Coturnix japonica: one gene and its partner. The protein of the gene in region 1 purifies or fractionates together with the protein of each later gene. This does not show direct contact. Links are inferred from orthologs where the notes say so. Each region holds a gene or a part of one and is shown on either strand. Other genes may lie near its edges.

The links.
Region 2: the proteins of PPP2CA (region 1) and CCT2 purify together in Homo sapiens (affinity purification with mass spectrometry; 4 studies listed by BioGRID and IntAct, with this or other methods). This does not show direct contact. The link is inferred for Coturnix japonica from reciprocal best matches to the Homo sapiens genes PPP2CA and CCT2.

Annotation. Positions count from the first base shown.
Region 1 is NC_029528.1:2,281,233-2,285,501, forward strand, and holds the start of PPP2CA (serine/threonine-protein phosphatase 2A catalytic subunit alpha isoform), read right to left. Parts: upstream 2,806-4,269; 5' UTR 2,588-2,805; coding exon 2,486-2,587; intron 1-2,485. UniProt on the Homo sapiens protein: Catalytic subunit of protein phosphatase 2A (PP2A), a serine/threonine phosphatase involved in the regulation of a wide variety of enzymes, signal transduction pathways, and cellular events.
Region 2 is NC_029516.1:32,200,888-32,204,860, reverse strand, and holds the start of CCT2 (T-complex protein 1 subunit beta), read right to left. Parts: upstream 2,811-3,973; 5' UTR 2,678-2,810; coding exon 2,675-2,677; intron 2,349-2,674; coding exon 2,274-2,348; intron 1,720-2,273; coding exon 1,654-1,719; intron 787-1,653; coding exon 675-786; intron 223-674; coding exon 146-222; intron 1-145. UniProt on the Homo sapiens protein: Component of the chaperonin-containing T-complex (TRiC), a molecular chaperone complex that assists the folding of actin, tubulin and other proteins upon ATP hydrolysis.

The sequences.
Region 1 (4,269 bases):
CACACTGAGTTACTGTGCTGCACTGCACTGTGTCTGCAAATAGCTGTTGTGTTCTTCTGCTATCAATACTGAAACACAACAGAGCCCTCAGGCTTCGTCTTACTAGACACACACGAAGCCTCAGAAGATCCAGAAATACCAGTCAGAAGATCACCTAATAAACAGCATGTTATGGGGAAAAGCCTTCACAAGAGGGATTACTTTTTTCTATCGTAGCTACAGCTCAGAGCAGTGAGGAATGACAGCTTCTGTCAGATAGGGTCTGCACCCATCATTTGAAACAGTGACTATGTTTGACACCACCCTTAACATCTAAGCTCTCTATGGAAAATCATAACCTTTGGGTGTGATTGCAGACAATAATCAAAACACGAATCATAATTCAGTACTGCAGAGAGCTGGTGCTGGAAGCCTGGGAACAGGATAAATGAGGAACCTCTGCAGACAGGCACAGAATTCAACTAATGCCCTGCTTTGGGAACACAGCAACCCATGGGGGGGACAGGACAATGGAAAGCTTGACACAGCATCTCACCTACCACTAACAGGGGCTGGTAAATCCACCAGTAGTTATCACCCTTAATACAAACAGCCTGGATGTACCTCACAAAGTGTTGACCTCAACCGAGTAATAGAGAGGGAGCTTTATCTCAAGCACAGTGTCATGCTGCCCAAAGACATTCCACCTTTGGTCTGGAGCTGGCTCCAACTTGTGGCAAACCATCCCTGCTGCTCAGTGGTATTCTCACATCAGCCTCTCTCCTGTCCTTGCAGCCTTTCATCTCAATGCAGCAGTCGAACAGGCAGCTTTCTGTAACCTAATTCAACTCCTTCATCCAAACAATTCCTGCAGCTCATCACCTATCATTCCTCCAGCCTCTCCAACAGAGTCTGCTGCTCCTACAGAGCCCACCTGCCTCGTGATTCCTTGCCTTGAACCTATCAGAATCGTTTCAGGTTAGAACAGCTTTTTCTTTCCTAGTGTCATGAATCTATTCTGGTGATGAACATTACACGCTCAGCCAGAAATAGACTAATTCAATTCTTCATTAGGAAAAAATGAAGACACCTCCATCCTCGCACAGATTATGAACAGGACTATGGTGCCTTTTGTGCGGTTTCTATTGGCATGTCTACTGCTCACCTATCCACAGCATCCACTAAATGCAAAGAATTTCATTTATTCCTCGGGTTTTTACAGATTGCCATACAACCACATTAGAAATACCCAGCCAGGATTCAGCCCTTCCATCAGCACATCAGTGATGGCAAATGGGACACGAGGAAAAAGTCAGAGTGCTGGCACTAAAGACACACAAGGGAAACAATCCCTAACCTGCTACTTGCTTGGAACACCACGTTAAACACACAAACTATATCTAACGGCTTTGATTTTGAGTTGCTGGAATATGAGGCGACTGAAATGTGGGACACAACAAGAACCTGTATGGCCAAAAGCACTGCAAGTTAATTCTAAGTCCACATACAACCCTCTGGAAACAATCTGCTTCTAAACCAACACGCTGTACTATTTGAAGGCATGGTGCCAACCTTAAAATACCCCTGTTTCCTCCTGTGATAGGCACGCAGCCTTCTTTAGGACCGAGGGCATCAATAACCTCCATACGCATTGATTTCTAGATCCCTCCCCCAAAAAAGGCAATTCCTTCAATCTAAAGGTGCACACAAATAAAACCTCCAGTAATTGAAGGGAAAATAATGGCTCATGATGGCTGAGGATTTAATTCCGCTCAGAAACAGACTGTAACCGGACAATACAACCGGGTACCACTGCAGCTATTATTCCTTTAATTCCTAGAGCACAGTTGCCGATGTGAAGCCGCTCCTACACTACACACACAGCACATCATTGTGCTGCGCGGATCCCCATCAGTCACCGTAGCAATAAACAGCGACACGAGCTTTATGTCACTAAGCGCCATTTTATTCTGGAAAAAAAAAAAACAAAAAACAAACCCGACTCCCCAGGTCGATCTAAAATTCCGCTTCAATTAGAAATAACCGCGATCCTATATTTGTATGGTAAATGAATAACTGAATAATCCGCCGTGCTCACAGCAGCTCGGAGCCCCGCACCGCGCCCTACGCTCCCTGCCCTACACGGCCTCCCCGTGTCACCGCACAGCACCGCACGGATGGCGGAGCGGCAGGGCCGGGCCCGGCGGCGGCTCTCGTGCTCTGTGGCGGCGGCTCCCGGCAGCGGCGCCATTTTAGGAGGCGATGAAAAGGCGGGAGGCGGGGCCAGGCCGCGGCAATGCCCGCCGAGGGGCCGCGGCTCATCCAGCGCCGGGCAGAGCGAGCAGCGCCCAGCGGAGCCCAACAGAGCGACCCACCGAGCCGATGTGTGGAGCCGACCCACTGCCCGGCACCGCTCCGATCCGTCCTGCTCACAGCCCCGTGTGCCCAACCCCGGAGGTGCCGCCCCGCCCCGTGCCGCCGCTCCGCTCCCCACGCCGCGCCTCACCTTCTCGCACAGGCTCTTCACCTGCCCCTCGGACAGCTGCTTGCACTCGTTGAGCTGCTCCACCCACTGGTCCAGCTCCTTGGTGAACACCTTCTCCTCCATCCCGCACGCAGCCGCTCGCTCGCCCCCTCCTCCTCCGCCTCCTCCTCCCCCTCACCACCAGCTGCCGCCGCTCCCCCCAAAGGCCCCAACGACGCGATCCCGGTGGTCGCGGCTCAGCAGCGGGTCGTGGAGCTGCGGGCGGAGCGGCGCCCAACGCACGGCAGCGAACAGAGCGCTCCGACCCTCGCTCTGCCCGTGTAATGGCCGCCGCTGCTGACGTCACGGCCCCACTACACTGCGGGGAGGGGACGGCGCCGCCATGGGAGGGGACGGCGCGTGCGCAGTAGGCTGGACGGACCGCGCATGCGCGACATGGGCGGGACCTGCCCGACCGGAGAGACGGAGCTCTATGCTGCGCATGCGCGGCGCATGCTGGCTGGGGGGAGCGGGGCTTGCGCGCTGTGAGGGGCTTCGTGCGCATGCGCGGGAGGAGCTGCGGGTCATGAGCTTTTCCCGCCCGTGCAGGGCGCGGCTGTGGGCGGGTCTGAGGGAGAGCGGTGGGGAAATAGGGGGTAGCGCTGTACAGTGTGTGGGGTACGGCTTCATGGGTGTGTGGGGGAGCGGGGTGTGACACTGAGGGCGCAGTGCTGAAGGACGCTACTTTGCAACGCTGGAGGCCTTGGGTTCGAATCCCCCTGTGGCGCAAGTGGTAGCAGTGCCGCTCTGCAGCACAGAGGCTCCAATCCCGGGGTTGGACTCGGTGATCTCTAAGGTCCCTGCCAACCCGCACCGCACTGTGACACTGTGACGCTGTGCGGTGTGTGTAACGTGTATTGCAGTGGTCTTCATCCTAAATGACGGGGCTGCCGGTGTGGCATTTCCTTACAGTAACTTATCAAGCGTGTGAAATATCAGTTAAAAGAACAACAAAATCAATAAAGTGGGTCAGAATTTGGCCCAATGTGCCCTTTTGGAATTAGCCACTTACCAAAGGCTTCCTGCTTAATAGGAGTCACTTGTCTCCAGCCGGGTTTGCCTTGCAGTGAGTGGAAAGGGTTAAATTCTTTGCTTGCTATTGAGGCAAAGAAACAAAATAGTGAGCAAAGGGGAAGGAATGTTTGCTGTAACCAGTCGGTCTCGGTTCCTCCATGTCATGCTCTCTCTATAAGATGTGCATTTTTTTGGCATGCCTTTCTTCAGGGGCTCTATTTTGCATCCTCAGATGCCTCTGGTTTTGTATTTTAAAGCTGTAAAAGGAGAGGTGTTATCTGTTGAAAAATGGCAAGAATCTGCTCTGTGGCACTGCTTCATTGCCTCCCAAATAATCCTGAACAAGCAACTGGAAAGAACATAAGGCAATAATCCTCTCTTATTTAACTAGCCAAGTTAAAGACCGTATTTAGCTTTTGTTTTCATAGAGATAGAGGAATTCCTGGTGAAACTCAGGTTCTGAATTCTTTCTGATTTTTTCTTTTTTAAATTTCTTAAATTAAAGCTTCAGTAGCAGGAAAATCTTAACTTGCTTATGAAACTGCAACCAAAGTCCTGTGACGTATTATCTGATATGTGCAGAGAAAACACGTGTAATGTGCACTAGGCAGTGCTCCATGCGGATTGCAATAGTGATTGCTGCTGTCTTTAAAGCAATTGTGGTGGCTCCCAAACCTGCCATAGGTTAATGGGAGCCTGGTGTTAGGGTTACTCTGCTATGGAAAGGTTCCTTGTTTGAAAAGGCAGTCATA
Region 2 (3,973 bases), on another chromosome or scaffold:
TTTTTTCCTACCAGTTTAATGGCAACGGGGCAAAGTATTCCTATCCTTTGGGAGCCCACTTCATAAGCATCAACAACACATCTCCTACTGGCATCCCAGGACTACACAGCCTATATGAAACCGTCTAAAAATGTTAATACATCACCCTCAGCAACTCAGCTGCCAACACTGTGACAGACGTAGTTCCATCACCAACTTCATCATCTTGAACCTTTGACATATCTAAAAGAAAGGCACTGCATTAATGCTTGCATTCAAAACAGACTGAACGCCCCTAGCAGCTATTATCTTCAGCATTTGTACCTCACATGACTTTAAGGAAGAAAAAAGAATTCCACTGCCAAAGAGGCTGTCAAACTGTAACTCAGACTGAAACTGAGATGCAAATCAAACACAACATCATCCTTCAAATTCCCCATCGTCGTTTGCAACACAGACCTGTTTTAGCCTATCAGTATTCAAGAGCCACCCCCCTCTCAACGTGTGCCTAAAGATCATGATCAAAATAAAGTAAGGCCAGACAGATGCTCTCAAGTATAGATAAGCAATATCACAGAATATGTCAATTTTTCACACTGTGTAGAATATTTCTCTATGAAGAAGTTAAAACTACGTAAGAAAGTTACAAGTGAAGAAATTCCATGTATGACAATGACAAACTGTTAGAAACTCACCAACCAAGACCTTGGCAGCTGGGTTGTCAACTCCAATAGCTTTCAGGATGGTTGCACCATCATTGGTCACTGTCACCGTGCTATCCCTCCCAGTACTGAGGAGAATCTTGTCCTACGTGATGCAAGAAATAGAACAGTTTGAAAAAGAACAGTAACTATTAAAACTAAATTATCATACAATGGTGCGAGTTAGAAGGGACCTTAAAAACCATCCAGTTTCAACCTCCTGCTGTGGGCTGGTCGCTGTCCACCAGCTCAGGCTGCCGAGGGCCCCATCCAACCTGGCCTTGAACAGCTCCAGGGATGGGGGTATCCACAGCTTCCCTGGACAGCTGTGCCAGGGCCTCTTTACCCTCAGAGTGAAGTATTTCCCCCTTATAACTAATCTAAACCTGCCCTCTTTCAGAGTAAAAATATTACACCTTGTCCCATCACTACACACTCTTCCCAGCTTTCCTGTAGGCTTCTACACCGGAAGGCTGCACTGAGGTCTCCCTGGAGCCTTTGTTTCTCCAGGTTCAACAAGCCAAGCTCCTTCAGCCTGTCTCTGTAAGAGAGGTGCTCCAGCCCTCTCATCATCCCTGTGTCCTCTACTGGACCCACTCCAATAGCTCCACGCTTTTCTTGTGTCAGGCACCCCAACCCAGAGTATTGCAGGCATGTCCTCTTAAGAGAGAACAGGGGGGACAATGCCCTCCCTCTCTCTGCTGATTACAACTGTTTCAATACAGCCCAGAGCATGGTTGGCTTCCTGGACTACAAGCATGCATTGCTGGCTCATATTCAGCTTTTCATTCAACAATCTATCCAAGTCCTCCTCCACAGGGCTCCAGTCATTGCCCAGCCTGTGTTCATGTCTGCGATTGCCTTGACCCAGGTGCAGAATCTTGCACTTGGCCTCACGAACCTCCATGAGGTTTGCGTGGGCTAAAGCCTGAAATGAACAGGTCTGACCACTGAGGACTTGAAGCTATCTTACCATGCCTTTAGGTCCCAGAGTGCTCTTGACCAGGTCACCAATAGCGATTGCACCAACAAAGGATGACTGTAACAAAAACAAATACACCTTAGAAAATTCTTTATTTCTACTTTAAAACAGTAAGTAAGAGCTAGGCTCTAACTTCCAAGGGGACATCTTAACTAAATTCTTCTACAGGCAAACTCCTTCCAGAAGAATCTGGTTCCAAGTTTCTTAAGTGCTACATTTCAGTAACGTACTTAATTTTTGCAGTAAGCATAAAACCACATAACAGAGCCAAAAGACTTCCAAGGAATAAGAACCTCCTAAGCTGAGATACACAGAATCACAGAATGACCCGGGTTGGAAGGGACCTCAAGGATCATGTAGTTCCAACCCCCCTGCCTGGCAGGGCCACCAAACATACACCTTTACTAGATCAGGTTGCCCAGGGCCCCATCCAGCATGGCCTTGAAAGAAGAACACTGCTGATATGAACAAAACACTTCTACCTTCTGTAACAACAAAAGACAAAACGAGACTACTGAAGCTCTACAGCAGTACACATTGAAAGTAAATTTAAATGTAAAAGAACGACTGTAATTACCCAGAGCATCATTTATCTGAGAGAATAAACTTACCAACCGAGCTGTTTCTGCTTTCTCTTCATCTGCACCTGCCTTGAAAATGTTGACGGGAGCGAGAGAAATGGACGCCTACAGCAGAGAGAGCAGAGAATAGTCCCGGAGCTTTGACAAAACACTGTATTCTAAACACAAATCCCCAGCACTAGCAAGCTAAGATGGCTTTAATACTGAAATCATTCCCGTGTCACGCTTGGTTTTGATAACAAGTACATTAATACTGAATAGACCCGCCCGCGGCCTAACGGGCTCGCCTCGTGCGCGCTCTGGAACCTTCCAGGCCCAACCTCCTCCTCCACACTCCACTCCACTCCCCGCCGCTCCGCGCCTCCTTCGTTCCCTCTCCCCCCCTCGGGTGGAAGCTCCGCGGGCGCGGTGCGGGGCCGTCCGTTGCTCACCATGATGCCGAGGGACACACAGCCGGCTCCGGTACGGGACGAGCTCACACACCGCCACACAGCGCCACAGCACGGCGGAATTGCCGTCACAGGAAGCGGCGGGGATGGAGCCGCGCGGCGCTGTGGGAGATGCAGTCCGCACCGAGGCGGGGGGAGGGAGCGGGATGGGGCAGCCCGCCATTACCTCAATGGGGGCATACAGGAAAGGGACTTGTCACAGAGCACAGAGCATGTACAGCTACTAAGCTGTACACTGAAACAGGGCTCGTTGAGATTAGACATTTATATATGAGGGTGACGGAGCACTGGAACAGGCTGCCCAGGGAGGTGGTGCAGTCTCCTTCTCTGGAGATATTCAAGACCCTCCTGGACACCTACCTGTGCGACGTGGTGTAGGGAGCCTGCTTTGGCAGGGGTGTTGGACTCAATGATCTCTAGAGGTCCCTTCCAACCCCTACAATCCTGTGTGATATTACAGAAGAGCAAAACAGGCTACTAATGCAGTATGCACCCACACTAACAGCAGCACATATTAAAGTAACCCACACGTTATTTTCAATGTAAAATCAATAGTTTATTGCCATGCTACAATTATTATTATTTTTTTTTCCAAATGAAGTTGGCACTGGTAAAGGGGAAAACATCATAATACATAATACAGCTTTAAAGGTGAACATTTGGTAAGCTTTCTCAATTAGGATCGCTTCAAACAAGGGGGGGGGGGGGGGGGNCTGTTTGTTTTTTGTTTGTTGGGGTTTTTTGTGTGTTTTTTTTTTTTTAAGATTAACATGGAATGGCATAAAAATACACTCTTTCTGCATAGTATAATTTTCATCAAAGAAATATGGAATGTCTGTAAAAACAAATTCATCCAACAGGGCAAATGAAGTTTTATAAACAGTTTGGCAATGATACTCTCACTGTTTAGACCTTTTTATATAAAAGAAATAAAAATCTAGAAAGCTACCTTTATACAAAGTTGCTATATTTATGCCTTTAAGTAGGAAAAAAAAAACATTTTATAATGCAAATTAGGACATACAATAATCTTACAATATCATACAATGTAATGACAAGAAAGGAACATACAACGTAAGATTTTGGCCTTTTGTAGAAACACGTATTTCTGCATTTAATAAATGCATTTGTGGCACACTGGTGACTACTGTATTCTTACTCCTACCAGCCAGCACACGTGATAGAACTGTTGTCAGCTGTACTGTAAGGGCAGCTCTGCGGTTTAGATAGAAAACACAGACGATATTTCATGAGACATAAGGTGATGCTGCAGTGGATTGA